5 linked regions of the Rattus norvegicus genome follow. The protein of the gene in region 1 binds, or shares a complex with, the protein of each later gene. Links are inferred from orthologs where the notes say so. Each region holds a gene or a part of one and is shown on either strand. Other genes may lie near its edges.

Region 1 (3,513 bases):
CATAGGGTCAGGACACAAAGGTCAAGGACCAGTTCTGTACTCCAGTTCGCTAAAGCTATAAAGAGCCCTCTTGGCACTTGGGGATTGGTCCCAAACCCTCACCATGTTCTTCTCATTTCCTGCCCATTTTCGGAAGATCTGCAGGGATTGGCCAGCGTGCAGCATCCCAGGTGTAGCAAATACAACCTGCAGGGTGGACAAGGGACAGAACAGACCTTACCTGGGGGTGCAACAAGCACCAGATCTTTGACCAACAGTCTTTCCCAAAGCCCCACTGGGAGGCCAGATGTGGAGAAGCTGCATTGCCAGAGCCTTACCATGGGTCCTGGGTTGTCAGCAAATGTCCGGTCAAAGGCTTTGATGTGCTTAAACTCAAACATGTTCCTCTGGACAAATGTCTTCCGGATCTTCTGGTTGGTCCAGGTGATGAAGAGCTTGTAATAATGGTTGGCTTTCTCTGTCAGGCCCGTAGAGAAGTAGATGGGCACCTTCAGGTTCATGCGCTCCCTGTGTCAGTATATGGAGGCCAGAGTTAGCCTGCAACGCATATCCCTGTGTCCTCTACTGCATAGCTTAGCTGTGGCCAGGGCTGAGTCTAGTGCACCTTGAACTGAACCCTGTGGTGTCTCTATCAACCTGGTGACCTCCAGGCCAGACCTCTTAGCTTGTGACCTATGAAACACGGGAGTGATAGGGGTCCCCAGAGCTCATGTGAGGAGACTCAGTGTTCATATGGGGCCAATACAGTCAACAGATGATGGCTCCAGTGTGATGGCCCAACAGATGCACAGCTCCACCCCAGACAGCAGGGCCAGTGGTACTCAGTGGTAGTCAGTGGTGCCTTGACTTCTTAACAGTTCCACTGTGCCTGGTAGCGTGAGAGGTTTACTCTCCTACATGGAGGCTGTTCCACCCTTTCCTGCCTACCTGTGAGATTTTCCTGTCTGCACCTACCAGAAGGTCTCCAGCAGGATGCAGAGTTCTTGTGCTCGGCCCAGCGCAAACACAGGGATCAGCACCTGGGGGCAGGTGAAGCTGGTTCAGTTCAGAGCTACCGGCTACACTACTGTTCCTGAACACATCAAATAGCAAGATACTCAGTGCACCCATTAGCAAGTTAAATGAGGACATTACTGCAAAGGAACAGACAGCCATCTAAGAACCACAGATATGGTACCTGGCTACATGCAGAGACAGCAGGAACTGTGGGAGGCTCTTGAACAGCCTTCATCAGATGCAACCGTGAGAGAATGGAAGACTCTGGAATCTGTCTTCTTAGTGCCACACAAACCACAACTCCCACACCCAGAGACCCTGACCAAAGGTACGACAGCAAGGCCTGCTAGGAGGCCTAGAGTGTAGCCAAAGTGGGCACACACCCAAAGCCTGCCTGCAGTCAATACCTTTCCGCCACGCTCCACAGTCTCATGAACTTTCTTCAGGAAGTCTCGCTCTCTGCAGCGTTTGGAATCTCGGATGGTTGTGGCATATGTGGACTCTGTGATGAGCAGGTTGGGACGACACTTGTCAATCCAAGCAGCCCTAGAGCAGAGGTAGGAGTGGGGATGATGGACTGTCCATGACTACAGAATTGGACACGAGCTCCGCTATATGGCCTGTCAAACGTCATGGCAGCATACTCGGAGGAGACAACAGGGGGATGAGCCTGTAGCCTAGACTCCCAAAGGTACTTCCACACTGCATGAGAGTACTTAGGTGCCCACCATGATGCCTCTTAGAGCTACCAGGTCCCAGGGTGAGACACAGTCCTACTTACCCCAAATGCCGGTCTGGAGTCATGTTATAATCACCCTGGCAAAGAAAATGCAATAAGGAAGTTGTCTTTCTTCTACCCCCAGCAATTTCACTCAAGCACCAAACAAATACTTCCACTGACCGTGTAGACCACAGACTCTGAGCCCACTTTAATCTGGAACATGGCTGCCCCCAACACATGGCCTGCATAGTACGCCTTGATTTCCAGTTCATCATCCACCTGTGGAAGAAAGAATGCTCTTAGGCCTGCAGGGCAGGAAGGCAGCAGGAAGTAGATGATTACCTTAACCCAGTCCAGTTAATTCCTGTTTCTCACAAGAAGTCTAGGGCTTGAGGGTTGTAGCATAGTAAAAACAAAACTAGGTTAATTATCTAAGGATCTAGAAGCCACACTTCTTTTTTTTTTTTTTTTTTTTTTTTTGGTTCTTTTTTTCCGGAGCTGGGGACTGAACCCAGGGCCTTGCGCTTCCTAGGCAAGCGCTCTACCACTGAGCTAAATCCCCGACCCCTAGAAGCCACACTTCTAGACAGTACAAATCAACTCCAAACACTACAAAGAAGAAATTCTAAAACTAGGAACTGTAGACACCCCAGCTAAGACTTCAGTAGGTGAAGCTGGGTATGGTGGTACAAGTCTGTGTGTCACTCAGGAAGCTAGGCAGGAGGACTGCTATGAGGCCAGCCTGAGCTACATAGTGAAGTCCGACCTCAGGAGAACGAGTAGAATTTAGCATAGTGAATAAAGTCAAGAGAAGGAATGCATGTCTAAAATGTTGAAGCACTGCACGTGGCGACATTTAACTGTTATCTCAGTTCTTGAGTTCTTGGAAGGCTGAAGCAGGATGATAGAGTTTTGAGGCCAACCTGGGCTGTGCAGTGAGACTGCCTCAAGCCAAAAAAAAAAAAAAAAAATTAAATTCAGCATGAAATAGAACACAAAATGGATAATGAAAGGCCTATAGTGAAAAGATCTAATGTTAAGCTACTCAGAGCTCCAGGAAGAATTAAAGACCTACACTAACCCAGAAGTAGACCAAGGTCCCTCAGAGTACAGCCTGTCAAGGCCAAAGGGAAAGCAGCCTGAACAGGAGCAGACAGGACTCCACAGGAAATGATCACTAAGACGCTGGACTGTGCACCTCACGAAAAGGGATAACTGCAGAGCTTCCAGGAACAGCAAACAAAGGAAAGGGGTTGTGCTGCAGGCATGTTCTTTGGAATTGGGAAAATGCCTTCGAAGTGAAAACTCTGCCCCTGGGAGGACAGGGAGGCCCAGGGCCTTGGGCAGTAAACAGGAGGTAAATAAAAGAGCACATCCTGGAGGGACGAGAGCCTGGGGGATCACTGAGAGCCCCACCATAGTATAAGTGGGAGTTGCTGCTAGGGTTAGACTCTAACCAGCCAAGTCATGGGGAGAAACCATCTGACTGCAGCACTGAGAGCCAGACAGATCAGAGGCCCTGATGGGAGGAACAGTTCTGTGTTCTTGCACAGGGACAGACTAGGTAAGGCCCAGGATGGGGCTGGGATGTGAGGCCTCGAAGGAGTTAAAGTTTCAGTTCCTGGGAACTTGATTCGTTCCCCTGAAGAGACAATGCACTGAGACTGAACTATGTGTTCAGTCTATAATGCTTTCGTGTTCTTTGTGCAAGAGTGCTCATTAGCTTCCTGCTGACTTCCTCCAATTGTATGATAATTTCTGCTAACTCTATCCTGGAAATAGGATAAGATGCTGTA
Region 2 (3,513 bases), on another chromosome or scaffold:
ACAGGATAGACAGGAAATGGACTTTGCTCTAAACAAACCATCAGCTCAAAACAGAAAGGAAAAGAACTGTGTGTGGCTGTACACTTTGGAGGTTGGGAGGCAGGGAACTGCTAGTTTAAGGCCATTCTGGGCTAAACAGTGAAGACCCTGTCCCAAAAAGAAGAAAGTAACAGCATAGAAAATTGTCATTTGGAAGCACAGCAGTGATAATGTATTCAGGAGTCATTAATCAGTGCTGAAATTCTGGATAGAAAGCTGGGGAAGAATGGGATATACATTCTCTTGAGCTCCTGCAAGAGCTGAACAGGAGGGCTGGAAAGACGGTGTAGCGGTTAGGAACACTGGCTGCTCTTCCAGAAGTCCTGAGTTCAATTCCCAACAACTACATTGAGGCTCACAGCCATCGATAATGGGTCTGATGCCCTCTTCTGGCACGCAGGTGTACACATGTAGAGAGAGTACGCATACACATAGAGACAAACAGTTTACAGTGGCAGGACCTGCACAGCCACAGGAATACCCCATCAGCTGCTCAGAATTAACATCAGGTGGGACACAAAGGACTGCAGACACTTACTGGGTGTCAGACCTCAGACATCACAGAGACCTGGTCCATGTCAACAGGCTCTCCCACCAGGAGCCCAGACCTTCAGAGGAGCAATCTGTCACATTGCCTAGTTTTTCCTCTCAACAGCTACCAGTGCTTGCTTGGCAGGGAGTATTCATACCAAATGAGCTGCCCACAGAGCCAAGAGAACAGTATATTGTGCTCACCCTACAATACCCAAAGGGACAGGTATAGTCTGTCTAAGACTTCCTCTCAGCTTATCCAACTACTGAGGCAATGGACCTCAAAGAATTAAAGCCTCCCCATGACTCTCACATTGGGGTAGGAAAAGACTGAAATGCTAATTGCAGCGAGAGGAGGACCCCTCCCCCCACCCACGAAGAGATTTCACAGTCCAGCAACTTACAGGACCACTCTGCAGACGGAGGATGATGGATCAGTGATGGGCAGACCCTCATCCTGACCAGGACTGCTAATTAGGCATACGGTAAGACCTCTACTTAAATGTAAATCTATGTTCTACCCCAAAGATGGGTCCCTCACCTGTTCTTCATGATATGGCCACTCTGAATGACTCTTCCTCTGCTTTTCCCTATTTTGTCCCTTTACTTGGCATCTTAGGGATGGGTGGCTGAGCCCAGCTTATAGGATTGCCAGAGCCACGCTTTCATTCTAAAACCTCTGCTAACATGGCCACCCCAGAAGGAATACTATATAGTCGTCAACACAAGCAGCAAAGGCAGACAAACTCCGCCTCACTTGAGCAGGGATTAGAAACCACCCACCAGCCAATGAAATGTCAGCATGTTGCCCAGTGCTACCACGAGTCAAGTCACAGCCCTTGGCTTCTTAGCTGGACTCTCTCACTGTGCCCATGGAAGTCTTTAAGTATTGTCACATGATATAGCTCAGAGAGAGCAGGAGAGACCAGCCACTCCCTTACCACATGGTATTATCTGACAACCTTAGCAAAATTCTGATGATGGCCAAGTTTTGGGCTTTGTGAATTAATCTACTACGACCTGACAGCCTGTCTTTGTTTTCCAAAGGTGTCTGAGGAACCACAAAGTAGTCCCTAAGGGTCAGGAGCTCCTGGCACAGCTGAGCCACTGTTGGACACACACTTCACAGAGCACATAACAAATCCACGAAAACCTTTCTAAAAATCCAGCTCCAACTCAAAGTTAACCCTGTTCCAGCCCAACAGGGGTAATTATCCCAGCCTGGTTATATTCTTGCTTCTTCTACACAGGACACCGAGATGACTAATTGTAGAATTCTTGTAATGTCACCCAACATCTGTGAATCTGTCACCCCATCTCTGCCGAGAAGAAGGTGACGCTAGCGATGGTGTGATGGCTATTCCTGGTTGTCAACTTGACTATCTCTGGAACAAATTACAGTTCAAAAATAGAAGGCACCTGTGAGAGATTACTTTCGCTTGGTTTGAGGTGGAGAATCCATTTCTAATTCAGACCTTTGAGGTGGGAAGACACACCTTTAATGTGGGCCACACCTCTGCTGACAGCCTATATAGGACAAGAAGGGAACTTTTGCTCTTTGCCTGCTTGCCTTTGCCTTGCTAGCAGAGCATCCTTCACTGGCCTATTTCTTCAGGATAACAGCATATACTAAAGACCAGCTGAGACATTCAGCCTTGGGAGACTGAGCAACTACTGGATTATTGAACTTTCCATTGACAGCCATACTGATAAATAATATCTATCTATCTATCTATCTATCTATCTATCTATCTATCTATGAATGAAGAGAGATTCATTCTCCCCCTAGAGAACCCTGACTAATATAGATTGTCATGTTTGAGGCTATACTAAGCTTTCAGGATTCTGACTTCACAGCCTGTGAGATTTCTAAGCTTAAAGGCAGTGTAAAGAAGACCTTACAGTGATAAAATAGGGAGAATCCCTAAGTCACCTCTGTCTGGCCTCATCTCACTGAAGGCTTTGTTCCTTCCTGAGGAGTCTGTTTCCAGAGGAGTAGCTGTAAGCCAGAGCAGAGCATAGTCAAAGATCCAAGATTCAGCTATGTAAACAATCCCGACCGGTCAGACCCGGCCAACATTGGAATCACTGAGGTTCTCAACACCGTATAAAATCCTATCCCAAAGCACTACAGCAGATCTCAGCATTGAAAAAGAAAAGAGAAGAACAGAAATAAAAGTTGTGTTGACAAACAGTTGCCCAACATGGCTTTACTTTTATTTCTTTTTTTCAAAAGATTTATTAAATTTATTATATATAAGTACACTGTCTCTGTCTTCAGACACACCAGAAGAGGGCATCAGATCCCATTACAGATGGTTGTGAGCCACCATGTGGTTGCTGGGAATTGAACTCAGGACCTCTGGAAGAGCAGTCAGTGCTCTTAACCGCTGAACCATCTCTCCAGCCCTACTTTTATTTCTTTATATCTATGTTGTTCTTGTTATTTTTGGAGACAGGGTGCTCTGGAATTTGATCCTCCTGCCTCAGCTTCTCCAGTGAGGAGACTAGGGTGTGCAAGGCTGATGGGCTGCATTGATACTTTCCTCTCTACCCTGGAGGCTCACGCCCTGTCTGCCCGATGGAAGGACAGGAGCCTTGTTACTCTTAAGATTTACCTGTAAATATGACGGTGTTGAGGCTGGACTTCCCCCAAAGCTCCATGAAGTGGACGACGTCCCCAAACCGGAGGGAAGGATGCCCCGTGAACAGCACACACGGCTGTCTGAAGTCATGGCTGAAGTCTCCGTGGATGCTGCGGTAGTGCTTCAGCTTATTGGTCTGAATGAGCTAAAATACAACCCAGAGCAGAGGAACATGGCTGAGCTGCAGAAATGCTGAACAAGACAACTGAGACGGCAAGCGGGGACTAGGAAGACACTACAGAAGCTACACCTGCCTGAGGGCTGCTGTCAAAAGTCTGCAGAGATAACTCACCAAGAC
Region 3 (3,104 bases), on another chromosome or scaffold:
GAGAGCATAGGTGAGTGGCCTCCCAGACAGTGAGACTCACAAGTCCTGCCTGGGGTGATGCGATGGCCTCATGTGGATATGACACCAACCCCCACCCCAAGCCTCTCCTTCTATAAGGTCCATTCTGCCTGGCAGCACCCAGCACCAAGACTACACCCAGGAGCAGGAGAATGCATGAGAATGTGCCCCAATGCCCTTCCCTCCTTAAGAATTGCGTGAATGGCAGAGCATGGTGCAGACAGCAGGAGGCCAGCTTGGGCCACAGAGTAACATCCTGTCTCAGAAAGACAAACAAGAGCCACTCAGGCAAGACTGCCCAGAGCGCTGGGTTAGCAGTCATGCCCCAACTCCATCTCCATCCCTGGCTCCCCCAAAGCTTCAGAAGTGGGCACTGCCCACACTCAATGCTAATGTGGGACCCCCCACTGCCAGAAGACAGGGTAAGACACTGGGGAACCCGGCCCCCCGTTAATTCTGATTGGTAAATACAGATGCCAGCAGCCAATAGCTGGGGAGAAGACATGGGCGGGGCTTAGGTTTTCTGGGCTTGGGACAAGGAAGCGGGAGGAGGAGGAAAAAGGAGCCCCTCCCACCCCCCAGTGGAAGAGGAAGAACAAGCAGGGGAAGGAGAGCTGCCCTGGGAGAGCTGTGACATAAAACATGGGCACGTGGGCCGGCCAACGAGGTAGGAGGAGCCCAGACAGAACACAGACATGAGGAAGTGGTAACTCTGAGTCGGCAATAGGAAAGGGGATTCTAACAGCATGGAGGGTGGGCGCTGCCTAAGGTGTATTTCACAAGATAATCTTTTATGCCGGTACATAAATAGTCTAAGGCGGGAAGAAACCCCGCACCGGGATTTTTTAAAATATTACTACAGAATTCCTTTTAAATGTAAGCCTCACCAGCACAGACTGGATCCTGGGTCCCATGCAACCACTGCTACCAGTTTTGACCTTGTGTCAAGCGTCTCTGCCCCCTCGTAGTCCTACCGTGTGGCCTTGGCTGGCCTGGAACTCCTTTCGTAGACCAAGCTGGCCACAAACTATATAGAGATTTGCCTGCCTCTGCCTCCCATGTACTGGAACTAATGGCGTGAATGACTGCACCCAGCTTGTCAGGGTCTCTTTGTAGCCCAGACTGGCCTTGAACTTATGATTCTCCAGTCTCTACCACATCTGTGGGGGGTTACAAGTGTGTTCCATTACACGGGCTGGAAAGGTCATTCTGGGCAGTGGCTCGGTGGCCCCTTTGGAAGCACTCATAAGTGAGAAGGTCCCCAGCTGTACGGGCTTCCCAGAACTCATTTACTGTACCATGGGGCTGGACTCTGGGCTCTCCAGGGTCTTCAGGAGGACAGCAAATACCTCCAGCACCAATTCCAGGGGGCCTGGAACAGACATGAGTGGAAACATCAACCCAACTTCTACACAGAGCCTGCCACACGGCAGGGAGCAAGCATTCCAAACTCTATGGAGGCAGAGGTCAGAAGCTACCCGAGGGCTACCTGAGGGCCCAATGGACCCTCCAGAAGAAAGAGAAGAGAAAGTGAACTCAGGGCAAGAGAACACAGCACTCACTTGTCCCCAGAGACAGCGTCCCCAAGAAGTCAAGGGCTGCTCGCTGGACACGAACACAGCCACCCAGCGCCCCACAGAGACGGCCTCCTGCACTGGAACTGGGGTCCGCCGAGCCGTCAGAGAGACGCAATATCGTCACAGCAGCTTGCAGCAGAGGCACCTGTGGCCACGGTGAGGGGCACTGGGGCTGCAGGGAGGAGGAACGTCAGCAGAGGTCTGGGGTCATGTGGCTCGATGACACGAGGCCTGGCTACACTTACCAGCATCTGCAGCTCCTCCAGGTGCGCCAGAGTCTGGCAGAGGAGCCCCACACAGGCCGACTTTGAAGATAAGAGTGCATCCACAGTCAGCAAGCTACCCGCAGTCCCGTCCAGCAAGCCTAAGACAAGGACAAAAGCATCCCTTCAGTGACCGCCATCCAAAGCAAGGGCCAGGTTTCAAGTTCAGGGCCAGGGCGGTTCAGGGATGCTGTCCAGTGTACTTTTAGTTGGAGGTCTGAGTGGGAGCAGGGTAGCTCACTGTTCTTTGCCTAAGAATGGAGGGTTCCACCCTCCCTGCATACCTGGAGGTCCAGGGGCCTGAGTGGTAGCTTTCAGGATGCAGGCCAGTGGCTGAAGGAGGACTCTAAAGGCCTGGGTCCTCAGTTCCTGGGGACTGGGGACATAGTACAGCATGAGGGTTATTCTCTGGCCCCAGTCTGAGCATCCTACAGAGTCTACGGTGTCTTAGTATGGTGTCTCAGTACAGGCTCCTCTGAAACACTTTGTCTACAAGCTACTAGCTAGGAACCAGGATAGGAGGAGAGGCCTGACCAAGGCTTGGCCCTGCTGTCCCTAGGAGCGGTTGTTGCTGGGTCTCAGGGGCCCCAGAAAGGCTGGTCACACTCCCTGATCAGAGTGACTGGGAATTTCCTGGCTTCTAGGACAGTGCCCAAGTATACTCATGCTGTGTTCGATGACTTAAGGTGGCCTTTTTCACATTATGTGATGGAGCACTCTGATGAACTGAGCCTGCTCAGACCCTTAGTACCTCTCCTCTCTGCATCCCACACTCAGCAGCCCACACCTCTGCACACCCCATCAGCTCCAGGAGCCTGGCTCAGCCTTATTGGAGGTGAGAGGACAGCTAGAGAAAGCACAGAAGTTAGCTTTAGGTCTGGGGTACCACAAACTTTAATTTGAATCGTTCTGTCTCTTGCTTAGCGTGGTATCAGGAGGCTGAGGTGGGAATGTAAAGTTCAAGGCCAGCTTAACCTAAGGAGTTATTTCCAGGACAGCCTGGGCAGCTCAGTGAGACTGCCTCCAACTAAGAAGAAAAAGAAAACTGTGCATATAGTTCTATGACAGAGCCCCTGCCTAGAATCCCCCAGTGAGGGGCTGGGGGCGTGGCTCAGTGGTAGAGCCCCTGCCTAGAATCCCCCAGTGAGGGGCTGGGGTGTGGCTCAGTGGTAGAGCCCCTGCCTAGAATCCCCCAGTGAGGGGCTGGGGTGTGGCTCAGCATAGAGCCCCTGCCTAGAATCCCCAG
Region 4 (4,235 bases), on another chromosome or scaffold:
CATTAAAACAGCAGCAACAGGCCGGGGGTGTGTGGGGGTGGGTGGTGGGGGTGGTGACTGCCTTTAACCCCAGCTTTTAATAGGGAGGCAGAGGCAGGCAGGTCTCTGAGGCCAGCCTGGTCTACTCTAGCGAGTTCCAGGACACCCAGGGCCACACAGAGAAACCCTGCCTTGAAAATCAAAACAAAACAAAACAAAAAATCAACAACAAAAACCTTCCCCATGTATAGGTAAGTGAACAACCACACAGACAAGTCCTGAGAGAGCAGTGGTCAGGGATGAGCCTCACAGCAGCCTGTGCAGCAAGGAAGCCTGGGAGAAGTGAGAGCTGCTGGCTCCGTGGAGGCTCTGTGGAGGCAGGGGTCCTCCAGTGGGATGAACGGCTGCATCAGGCAAGAGGGCCTGCAGTCCCACTGCTAGTCCCCACAGGGGGACTTCCTAACTCTGACAAGGGACAGCCAACACTTCCTGCTCTTTCTCTGTGCCCCTTGGGCAGTGGTGTGATCTCTGGGTAAGACAGTGAGCGTCTTGCGCACTTGCGACTTCCCTTCCCCAGAACTAGCACTCTGTAAGAGGAGGGACCTCCTCCATGTCGCCTGCTCCATGCTGAGTGCTCCTGAGTGGCTCAGGCTCAGCCCTTCCTCTGCCCACACCCAGCAGAGAGGCCCTGGCTCTCTAGGTGCTCTACCAGCAGCTGGGGAGGTAAACTGGACTCCTGGAGGAAGTTCAAAGAAGTCCCATTAGGCCTGTCTGCTACACTGTGCATGCTAACTCATCTTTGTTGCACGTAGTAGACAGAAACTGTGATGTCCCCTGTCCCCTCCCTTAAGTGCTTTTTCATTGGCTCAGCTAAGAGACAGGAGTGTGTGAGCCATTTTCCTAAAACCTCACCTTCTGACAAGCGAGCTTCACTTACCGTTGTCTTCTCTAATTTGCCACACTTGTATGTAACACCCTGGAAGCCCACTGGTCACCAGCAACCTGTTCCAAAGGGATGGAAAATTGTAAATCCACACTGGAAATTTGCCCTCACCCCAACAGCCTTTCCTGTCCAGCCCACTCAGGAGCCCCGGGACCAGCCGTCTTCATTCAACAGATGAGCAGGCTCCTGCTTTAGGGACAGGATCACAGCTCAGAGAGAGCCACAGACTGAGCCCAGGCTGCCACAGGTCACGATGGTCCCCTAGAAAGGACACACGTAGGAAGCCTGAACACAGAACCACGACTAAAAGCTGAAGTACAGGGGTCTGTCAGCTCTCGGACAAGCTTCAGAGTACTTTTCCACTCTGTATCTGGTCCCCGGAGCATCCCCATAGACTTGGAGGCTCCACTAATCGAAATGGCTGCTGAGCTAACGATTTCCTCAGATGCTACATCTGTGTGTGACAGCACCACCATGTATACCCACCCATGTCTGTACACTGAGAGGAGGGCATGCGGATAAAAAGACAGACCCTGCAGAGTATCTCCTGTCATCACCAGAGAACCGAAAGTCTGGGACACAGACTGGTCATACCTGGTATCTGGCACGTGCTTTAGGTCAAAGACAGCTCTGTCTGAGAATCCTCCGTGGCGTACTTTGAAGTCCCTCTCTGGGTATAAGCCCTAAAATGAAAGGGCAGAGCAGTCAGACAGCACCAACTCTCCTGTCCTTTTTGGCTTTTCTAGGCAGAGTCTCTGTGTAGCCCTGGTTGTCCTGGAACCCACGCTGTAGACCAGGCTGGCCTTGAACTCAGAGATCCACCTGCCTCTGCCTCCCCAGTGCAGGGATTAAAGGTGCGCACCACCGCCCGGCTTCTTCTGTGGACTTGAAAGGCAGACCCAGGTACTTGTCAGACATAGTGGGTATAACAGGCACTCCAGAAATCCACAGTAAACCGACACATAAATCAGCTTCTCTATATTTAAGTTACCTGGTTTTCCTTTACAGAGAGTCTTAGAGGTAGAATCAAATGAAGAATCTCATTTTTTTTCAAACTTTCATAACCAGCAACAAAGACTCCTGAGGAAACAAAACAGTAACTATGACAAAGTGTTAGAAATACCGTGGATCATGGGTGGATTCATAAATTCCCCCAAAGGATAAATACCTTCCCCATTCTCTGAGCAGCCTTGTGTCAGGGCACGGAAGTTGAATGGGTCTCTCTAAAGGTTCGGCCCGAGGCAGAAACCCACCTCTTTTAGTGGCAGGCGAGGTATATTACCTTTTTCACCAACCCATTCAAGAACTCGAGTGGCTCCTGAGAGGTCAAATGCATGGAAGTCTTGGTACCTGCAGGACAGGGAAAGAAAAATCACAGCTAACCAAGAGATTGCTGAAGGATTGGTGGAACGAGGCTCTGGAGTTAGGTAGACATGGGGCTGGATCTTTTTTTCCTGCATTTTAGAGGCCAGGATGACCATAAGGAACCGAGACTTGGTTCCTCACCTGTGGAACTCCCACAAAGTTGATTTCCCCAAGTTGAGATGATCAGTAAGAGAATCTGTGTTCAAGTTAATCTAGAGGCCGGCATAAGGTAACGGGTCATGTGTGTTTTACCCGCTCTCACAAGCACGGATCTGGCCACATTACTTGCTTACAAAGGACCGAGGGTCCCAGAGCTAGAACCGGAGATCAGGACCTCCATCCGTCCGTGCCTGGGCACTGCCCGCGAGCCCGCGACGGCCCGCGCCCTCCCCCATTGCCCATCAGACCCGCCCACGACCCGATTTACAAGCGCAAAGACTCCACGAGCCAGTCCTCTGCGAGCTCCATAGCAACTGTGGCTTCCGTCGCTTCACTTCCGCCAGCCAGACTTCCTGGATAGGCGCGCGTTCTCGCGAGGAGAGGGCGTGGTCTTCCGCCTTGCTGGTTCGTGAGCGCTCAGAGCTGCGCGAAGCCTTGATGTTTCTTAGGCTCTGTGTGCAGAGTCCGGATGAAAACGAGGCAAAAAACCCCCCAGATTCATCGATGTCAGCTACAAGCAGGATCGGAGACATCAAATATACCTCTGTATATTTAGGGTCAAGTTGTGCAAAGAGCTGTCAATGTCCCAAAGCCAGGTACAATACAGACTTAACTGGAACTTCAGGTGAACAGTTAATTTAAAAGTTTGCGTGAATATGTCCGTGCAGGATACTTTAGGATTTTCTTTTTAAATGAAAGGAATCTTGTTGGGCTGGGGATGTAGTTCAGCTGCTAGAGTGCTTGCCTAGCGTGCACGGAGTTAGCTCTCCAGTACCACAGTCAAACAAACAAACAAAAAACCCAGTATGGTGGCACAGGACTGTAATTCCAGGACTCAGGGGATAGAGGCAGGATCAGAAGCATTAGGTCATCATCTGCTACATAGGGAATTTAAATTCAGTCTACGTTAAACAAGACTCTATCAATAAAGTATCTGACATTCCAATTTAATTTTTATTTGATAACTTTGGCAATATGTATGGAGGACTCTGCATCCAGAGAATAAGAACACAGCAGGGCTGGAGTCCAGCATGATTCTCTCTGGTATGCACCAGGTACCTCAATAAAGTTTTCCATGGGGCCAGTGTAGCGTAGTGTAGGTAGCCTCCCGTTGCAGGGGAAGACTTTGTAGCAGAACTCATGGGTGGCAATGGTCAGTGCAGCCAACACAATACCTGGTTGCTGAGAGTTGGCAACCACTCATTGTCTGGCTGGTGCCAGGGTGAGAGGTGATGGGGCTTTCCCAAGACCACCTCTCTGAACATTCCACCCTCCAGAGAGCCCTTCCCTTTTTCCTCAAATGTGGGTGGAAGGAGAGGCCCAGACAGTCTTCGTAAAGAGCAGTATTTTTATTCACAACTTCACCAGGGAAGCAAGAAATACAGCAGGAAAGACTGTGTCTGTATCGTTAACATTCCTGGTGACCCAACCAGAAATCACAGTAACAGAGTAACACATTTGAGCTTAGGTTTCACATCCAGAGGAGGCCACTGCTAGGGTTCCATTCCTCAGTTTCCCTGGATGGACGCATGCTACGCCCAGTGCCGTGTTTGTTCCATTATTGGCGTCACTTCTGCAGCAGCCTCCTGTACTGAAGGCAAAAGAGAAAACTCGATCCTGGAGTCCACGAATGAGGGATATGCTGAGTGTACACAGGGGGGCAGTAGTGACAGGCTCTCAGCTGAGCCTCTGAGTGAGAACCCTTCTCCCTGAAAGACCTGAGGAGTCAGGGGTAATGGTTTTCCCAGAATCTAGCCCTAACTTTCACAGGGTAGTCATGACAACCAAA
Region 5 (3,513 bases), on another chromosome or scaffold:
GACAAAGACCATACTTTCTTCACCTCCATTGTCTCAAAATCTAGAATAACGTATTATGTGCTCAATCAATACCTAATAAATGGCAAAGAATCAAATCAAAAAACAAAACAAAAGGCTTACATCAATCTTCTCAACTAGATCATCCTTATATATATAAAGGCTCTTCTGGAACTTCTGATTGTATGCATGCTTTGGATGTATTTTCCCATCACAATGATCAAATAGGTGCTTGACAAGTGACTATTAAACAAATCTGCGACCAGCCGAAATTACTGGCTAGCATGACCAGAGGAATTATCTCATAAGAAAACACAAAAAGCAAAAATAAACTTCAGCAAACCACACACACACACACACACACACACACACACACACACACACACACACACACGCTTCTGTCTTTCAAAATACAGTCCTTATAATGTTGGTGGAACACAAGAGGATTTTAGGTAATTCAAGTGATCTTGGCCATAGTAAGAAGTTTACTTCTCTGGTAACATTTGCCCACCATGTGTAAGGCTTTCAGATCAAACTGCAGAAGGGACTCACATATAAAATAAGCCACAAATATGAAAAGGTAATCACAGGAAACCTAAGAGGCAAAGACACCCTCAATGCTACCATATTGATTTATTTCCTTAAAAAGGAAACATCCACAAAAAGCTAACTAAAACTTACAAAGCTTACATCTGATAAATCAAAAATCCAATCTAAATCTGGAATCCTGGGCTAGAGCTGGCTCAGTTTTTAAGAGAGCTTGCTCCTAATTCAGGACTGAATTTTATTTCCCACACCCAGGCCAAGCAGCTTACAACTGCCTGGAATTCCAGCTCCAATGGATTCAACACCCTTTTCTAGCCTTCAAGGAAACCTACACACAAGGCTGTCTCTCACACACACACACACACACACACACACACACACACACACACACACACACACACACTTTATTATTTTTTTTTCTTTTTTTTTTCGGAGCTGGGGACCGAACCCAGGGCCTTGTGCTCGCTAGGCAAGCGCTCTACCGCTGAGCTAAATCCCCAACCCCCTCCCCCCCCCACACACACACTTTAAATCCTGATCCTAGTTTCTCTCCTGAGTTTCTGAGCAATCAGACTGGATATTTCTACATAGACAGTAAATGATGCCCCAATATCAAACAAAATTCCCCAGAGGTACCATAGTCTTTCTAAAATTTGACTTGATCATTGTATGTCCTCAATCATAAAACTTCACAGTCCTGCACTGTAGGATAATGTCATACAGGTAAGGGCTGGTACAGGATAGAAAGAGCTGAGAAGGAAGGATGGGCGGGAGAAAAGTCTGAGGGAAGGGGAGGTGACTGGAAGGGAAAGGGGAAGAGAGGAGGGATGGAGAGAAGCGGCAGAAACAACATGAAAGCTGACATTAAGATTCCACACTGTACCTTTACAGGTTGTTATGAATGTTCTTAAGGGATGGATGTGTACTGGGCTTTGTATGTTTAGGTGGACCATTATATCTTATCATTGGATCAGAGGTTATTGGGTTGTGTGTTCTTTCATGTAGCGATTTAAGTATAAGAAAGTGTGTGGCGGCTGGAGAAACTGAGCCACCACAGAATTGGGATGTGTGCTTCTGGCAAGATATCTACCAGATATGTGGGGCACTACGGTGCTGGACCTATGAGGACGTAAAAGACAGCCCCAAAATTAATGTTACAATGACAGATGGTGCCCAACGTGGGGTCCATGTTCCTTAGCACTCAAGACTTAACATTTATCTTCAAAGCATATCACCACTCCCTGGTGCTATGTCAAAAACAAAACCCACTCAAGTTCCTTAAATACCTCCTGGTTTCCAGCTCTCTGTCTTTTACTGACACGTTCCCTCTCCTTCACACTACTGGATGTACGACAGGTACAGTGAACTTTGCCACATGGCATGTGGCTTGAACAAATAACTTCACTGAGTCTTTCTTTACTTAGTTATAAAATTGGGACATCAGGAGCTGTAGAGATTGTGCAGTAGTTAAGAGTGCTTACTCACCTTGGAGATCCTGCCTTCAGTTCCCAGCATCCCATCAGGGCTCACAACCATCTGTATCTTCAGCTTCAGGGAATCTGACTTTATCTTCCGGCCTCCACGGGTATACACATGTGCACGCGCACACACGCACACACATATACACGCGCACACGCCCGCACACACATACACATTCATGCATACACAGAAAAAAAACTTTTTGTAATTTTTTTCATTTTTCTTTTTTTCTTTTTTTTTTTTCTTTCGGAGCTGAGGACCGAACCCAGGGCCTTGCGCTTGCTAGGCAAGCACTCTACCACTGAGCTAAATCCCAACCCCAATTTTTTTCATTTTTCAAGGCACCATTTCTCTGTGTAGTCCTGGCTACCCAGGCTGGCTTTGAACTCACAGAGAGCAGCCTGCCTCTGCCTCCCAAATGCTAGGATGAAAACTGTGTACCACCACTGCCCAGCTATAAAATAACATTTTTAAAATATACTTGGAAATGTATACCTTTAATCTCAATACTTCAAGACAGAAGCAGGCAGATCTCTGTGAGTTGTGAGGCCCACATGACCTATAATGTGAGTTCAAGGCCAACCAGACTATGTCTCAAAAATACCAAAAAGTCAACCCAAAAGAAAAAAGTACTTGGAATTATTTTTTAAAGGGAAATTAATATCCAACCTCTATATTAAATAAGCAGTAATAAATATACAGCACTTTGTAAGGTCACAATGATAGTTGTTAAATGAAGCTATAGACAGAGGCAAAACCTTAAAGTCTTTAACTCCCTGTGCAGGCAAGGATAACCCTAAACTTTTGAGTCTACCTCCAAGTGCTAGGATTACATTGTGAACCACCATGTGCATTTTATGTGGTGCTGGGTAAGGGGAGGTATGGAACCTAGGACTTCATTCTAGGTAAGCCCTCTTCAACTGAGCTATGACCTGCCCTGTTTATGCAGTGATGGAGTCTAAGCTCACAGCTTCGTGAATGCTAGGCCAGATAGGTATTCTACCAACTGAGCTACATCCCTGGACCATAAAACTATACTTCAGCCCTAATATGGATACATGTACACGCCTCCATTAAACCATCTTCAAACTCCTTCTTAAGGAGAAGGTGTGTGACTTACGGAGTCTCTCAGGAGACTCAGACAGATGACTGTTTCAGATTTTAGGTCATCCTGGGTACCTAATAAGTTGCAGGACAGCCTAGGCTAGAGTAAGACCCTACCTTGTTAAAAAAAAAAAAAAAATCTTTTTAATGACTATCAACACCAAACACCGTTGTAAATTCTGTACGTAGAACTGAAGATTTGCACTCTGACCCCATAGCTGTCAGCTGCAACTTACTTTCATTCTGTAGTATGTTAATGGCATCATCCATTATGCAATCTGGAGAGAATCCTGCAGTCTTTGATAATAATCCCAACAGCGATGCGATTTTCAGTCTCACAGATGGATCATTTTCCTAGAAAAAACAAGAAACAACACACATCTGTCA

Evidence for each region.
Region 2: the proteins of Ints11 (region 1) and Ints9 are in contact, whole or in part, in a cryo-EM structure (PDB 8RC4), measured with the Homo sapiens proteins. The link is inferred for Rattus norvegicus from reciprocal best matches to the Homo sapiens genes INTS11 and INTS9. Residues at the interface, in NP_060341.2 of Homo sapiens: His94, Gln97, Ala98, His137, Leu138, His139, Gln140, Thr141, Lys274, His277, Tyr278, Lys280, Leu281, Phe282, Ile283, Pro284, Trp285, Arg291, Phe294, Ser449, Pro450, Ser451, Ile452, Pro453, Val454, Gly455, Ile456, Ser457, Leu458, Leu461; in NP_060720.2 of Homo sapiens: Glu127, Gly198, Tyr199, Ser200, Gln201, Lys202, Tyr231, Glu338, Phe339, Ile342, Phe343, Glu345, Gln352, Lys354, Val355, Tyr356, Leu357, Pro358, Glu359, Pro360, Pro361, Arg511, Arg512, Tyr513, Glu514, Lys515, Ile516, Glu517, Ile518, Met519.
Region 3: the proteins of Ints11 (region 1) and Brat1 are in contact, whole or in part, in a cryo-EM structure (PDB 8UIB), measured with the Homo sapiens proteins. The link is inferred for Rattus norvegicus from reciprocal best matches to the Homo sapiens genes INTS11 and BRAT1. Residues at the interface, in NP_060341.2 of Homo sapiens: Leu9, Val15, Gly16, Lys27, Met35, His36, Met37, Gly38, Phe39, Arg43, Asp47, Tyr50, Thr58, Asp59, Asp62, His70, Leu71, Asp72, His73, Asp87, Gly88, Gln97, Pro101, Ile102, Glu105, Arg108, Lys109, Val112, Asp113, Lys114; in NP_689956.2 of Homo sapiens: Asp25, Thr27, Cys28, Glu30, Lys31, Asp34, Pro117, Ser156, Ser157, Leu158, Phe159, Ser162, Lys358, Ser359, Cys366, Arg367, Arg424, Arg427, Thr465, Lys468, Lys469, Trp514, Glu515, Asp518, Ser519, Glu522, Tyr560, Ser564, Ser604, Glu605.
Region 4: the proteins of Ints11 (region 1) and Wdr73 are in contact, whole or in part, in a cryo-EM structure (PDB 8R22), measured with the Homo sapiens proteins. The link is inferred for Rattus norvegicus from reciprocal best matches to the Homo sapiens genes INTS11 and WDR73. Residues at the interface, in NP_060341.2 of Homo sapiens: Tyr206, Thr208, Thr209, Ile210, Arg211, Asp212, Ser213, Arg215, Cys216, Arg217, Glu218, Arg219, Asp220, Leu222, Lys223, Lys224, His226, Phe255, Arg258, Met259, Leu364, Val384, Glu385, Tyr386, Ser388, Lys418, Lys419, Glu421, Phe422, Gln425; in NP_116245.2 of Homo sapiens: Asp5, Asp6, Leu8, Val9, Ser11, Leu12, Tyr15, Gln16, Phe18, Tyr19, Ala20, Phe21, Asp22, Leu23, Glu50, Leu52, Arg59, Leu68, Phe69, Pro70, Glu71, Arg72, Asp73, Phe74, Lys75, Val76, Gly79, Phe81, Asp116, Ser117.
Region 5: the proteins of Ints11 (region 1) and Ints4 are in contact, whole or in part, in a cryo-EM structure (PDB 7BFP), measured with the Homo sapiens proteins. The link is inferred for Rattus norvegicus from reciprocal best matches to the Homo sapiens genes INTS11 and INTS4. Residues at the interface, in NP_060341.2 of Homo sapiens: Pro183, Trp191, Lys194, Asp212, Gln288, Gln400, Gln404, Lys462, Met465, Ala466, Leu469; in NP_291025.3 of Homo sapiens: Leu159, Asp161, Thr162, Arg167, Tyr203, Gln207, Asp244, Ser292, Gly294, Trp296, Arg299, Lys323, Met326, Ser327, Asp328.

What each region holds. Positions count from the first base shown.
Region 1 is NC_086023.1:171,774,895-171,778,407, reverse strand, and holds part of Ints11 (integrator complex subunit 11), read right to left. Parts: exon of another isoform or gene 1,997-3,513; coding exon 1,898-1,996; coding exon of another isoform or gene 1,813-1,897; coding exon 1,778-1,812; exon of another isoform or gene 1,543-1,777; coding exon 1,404-1,542; exon of another isoform or gene 1,020-1,403; coding exon 955-1,019; exon of another isoform or gene 508-954; coding exon 318-507; exon of another isoform or gene 187-317; coding exon 103-186; exon of another isoform or gene 1-102.
Region 2 is NC_086033.1:43,449,233-43,452,745, reverse strand, and holds part of Ints9 (integrator complex subunit 9), read right to left. Parts: intron 3,361-3,513; coding exon 3,189-3,360; intron 1-3,188. UniProt on the Homo sapiens protein: Component of the integrator complex, a multiprotein complex that terminates RNA polymerase II (Pol II) transcription in the promoter-proximal region of genes.
Region 3 is NC_086030.1:19,045,596-19,048,699, forward strand, and holds part of Brat1 (BRCA1-associated ATM activator 1), read right to left. Parts: intron 2,235-3,104; coding exon 2,143-2,234; intron 1,960-2,142; coding exon 1,841-1,959; intron 1,768-1,840; coding exon 1,581-1,767; intron 1,391-1,580; coding exon 1,317-1,390; intron 1-1,316. UniProt on the Homo sapiens protein: Component of a multiprotein complex required for the assembly of the RNA endonuclease module of the integrator complex.
Region 4 is NC_086019.1:144,274,906-144,279,140, forward strand, and holds the start of Wdr73 (WD repeat-containing protein 73), read right to left. Parts: upstream 2,803-4,235; 5' UTR 2,756-2,802; coding exon 2,715-2,755; intron 2,273-2,714; coding exon 2,205-2,272; intron 2,003-2,204; coding exon 1,914-2,002; intron 1,606-1,913; coding exon 1,517-1,605; intron 982-1,516; coding exon 917-981; intron 1-916. Other genes in the region: Nmb (neuromedin-B), read right to left, coding at 3,979-4,032. UniProt on the Homo sapiens protein: Component of a multiprotein complex required for the assembly of the RNA endonuclease module of the integrator complex. Associates with INTS9 and INTS11 in the cytoplasm, stabilizing the INTS9-INTS11 heterodimer and blocking the active site of INTS11.
Region 5 is NC_086019.1:161,207,779-161,211,291, reverse strand, and holds part of Ints4 (integrator complex subunit 4), read right to left. Parts: intron 3,481-3,513; coding exon 3,363-3,480; intron 1-3,362. UniProt on the Homo sapiens protein: Component of the integrator complex, a multiprotein complex that terminates RNA polymerase II (Pol II) transcription in the promoter-proximal region of genes.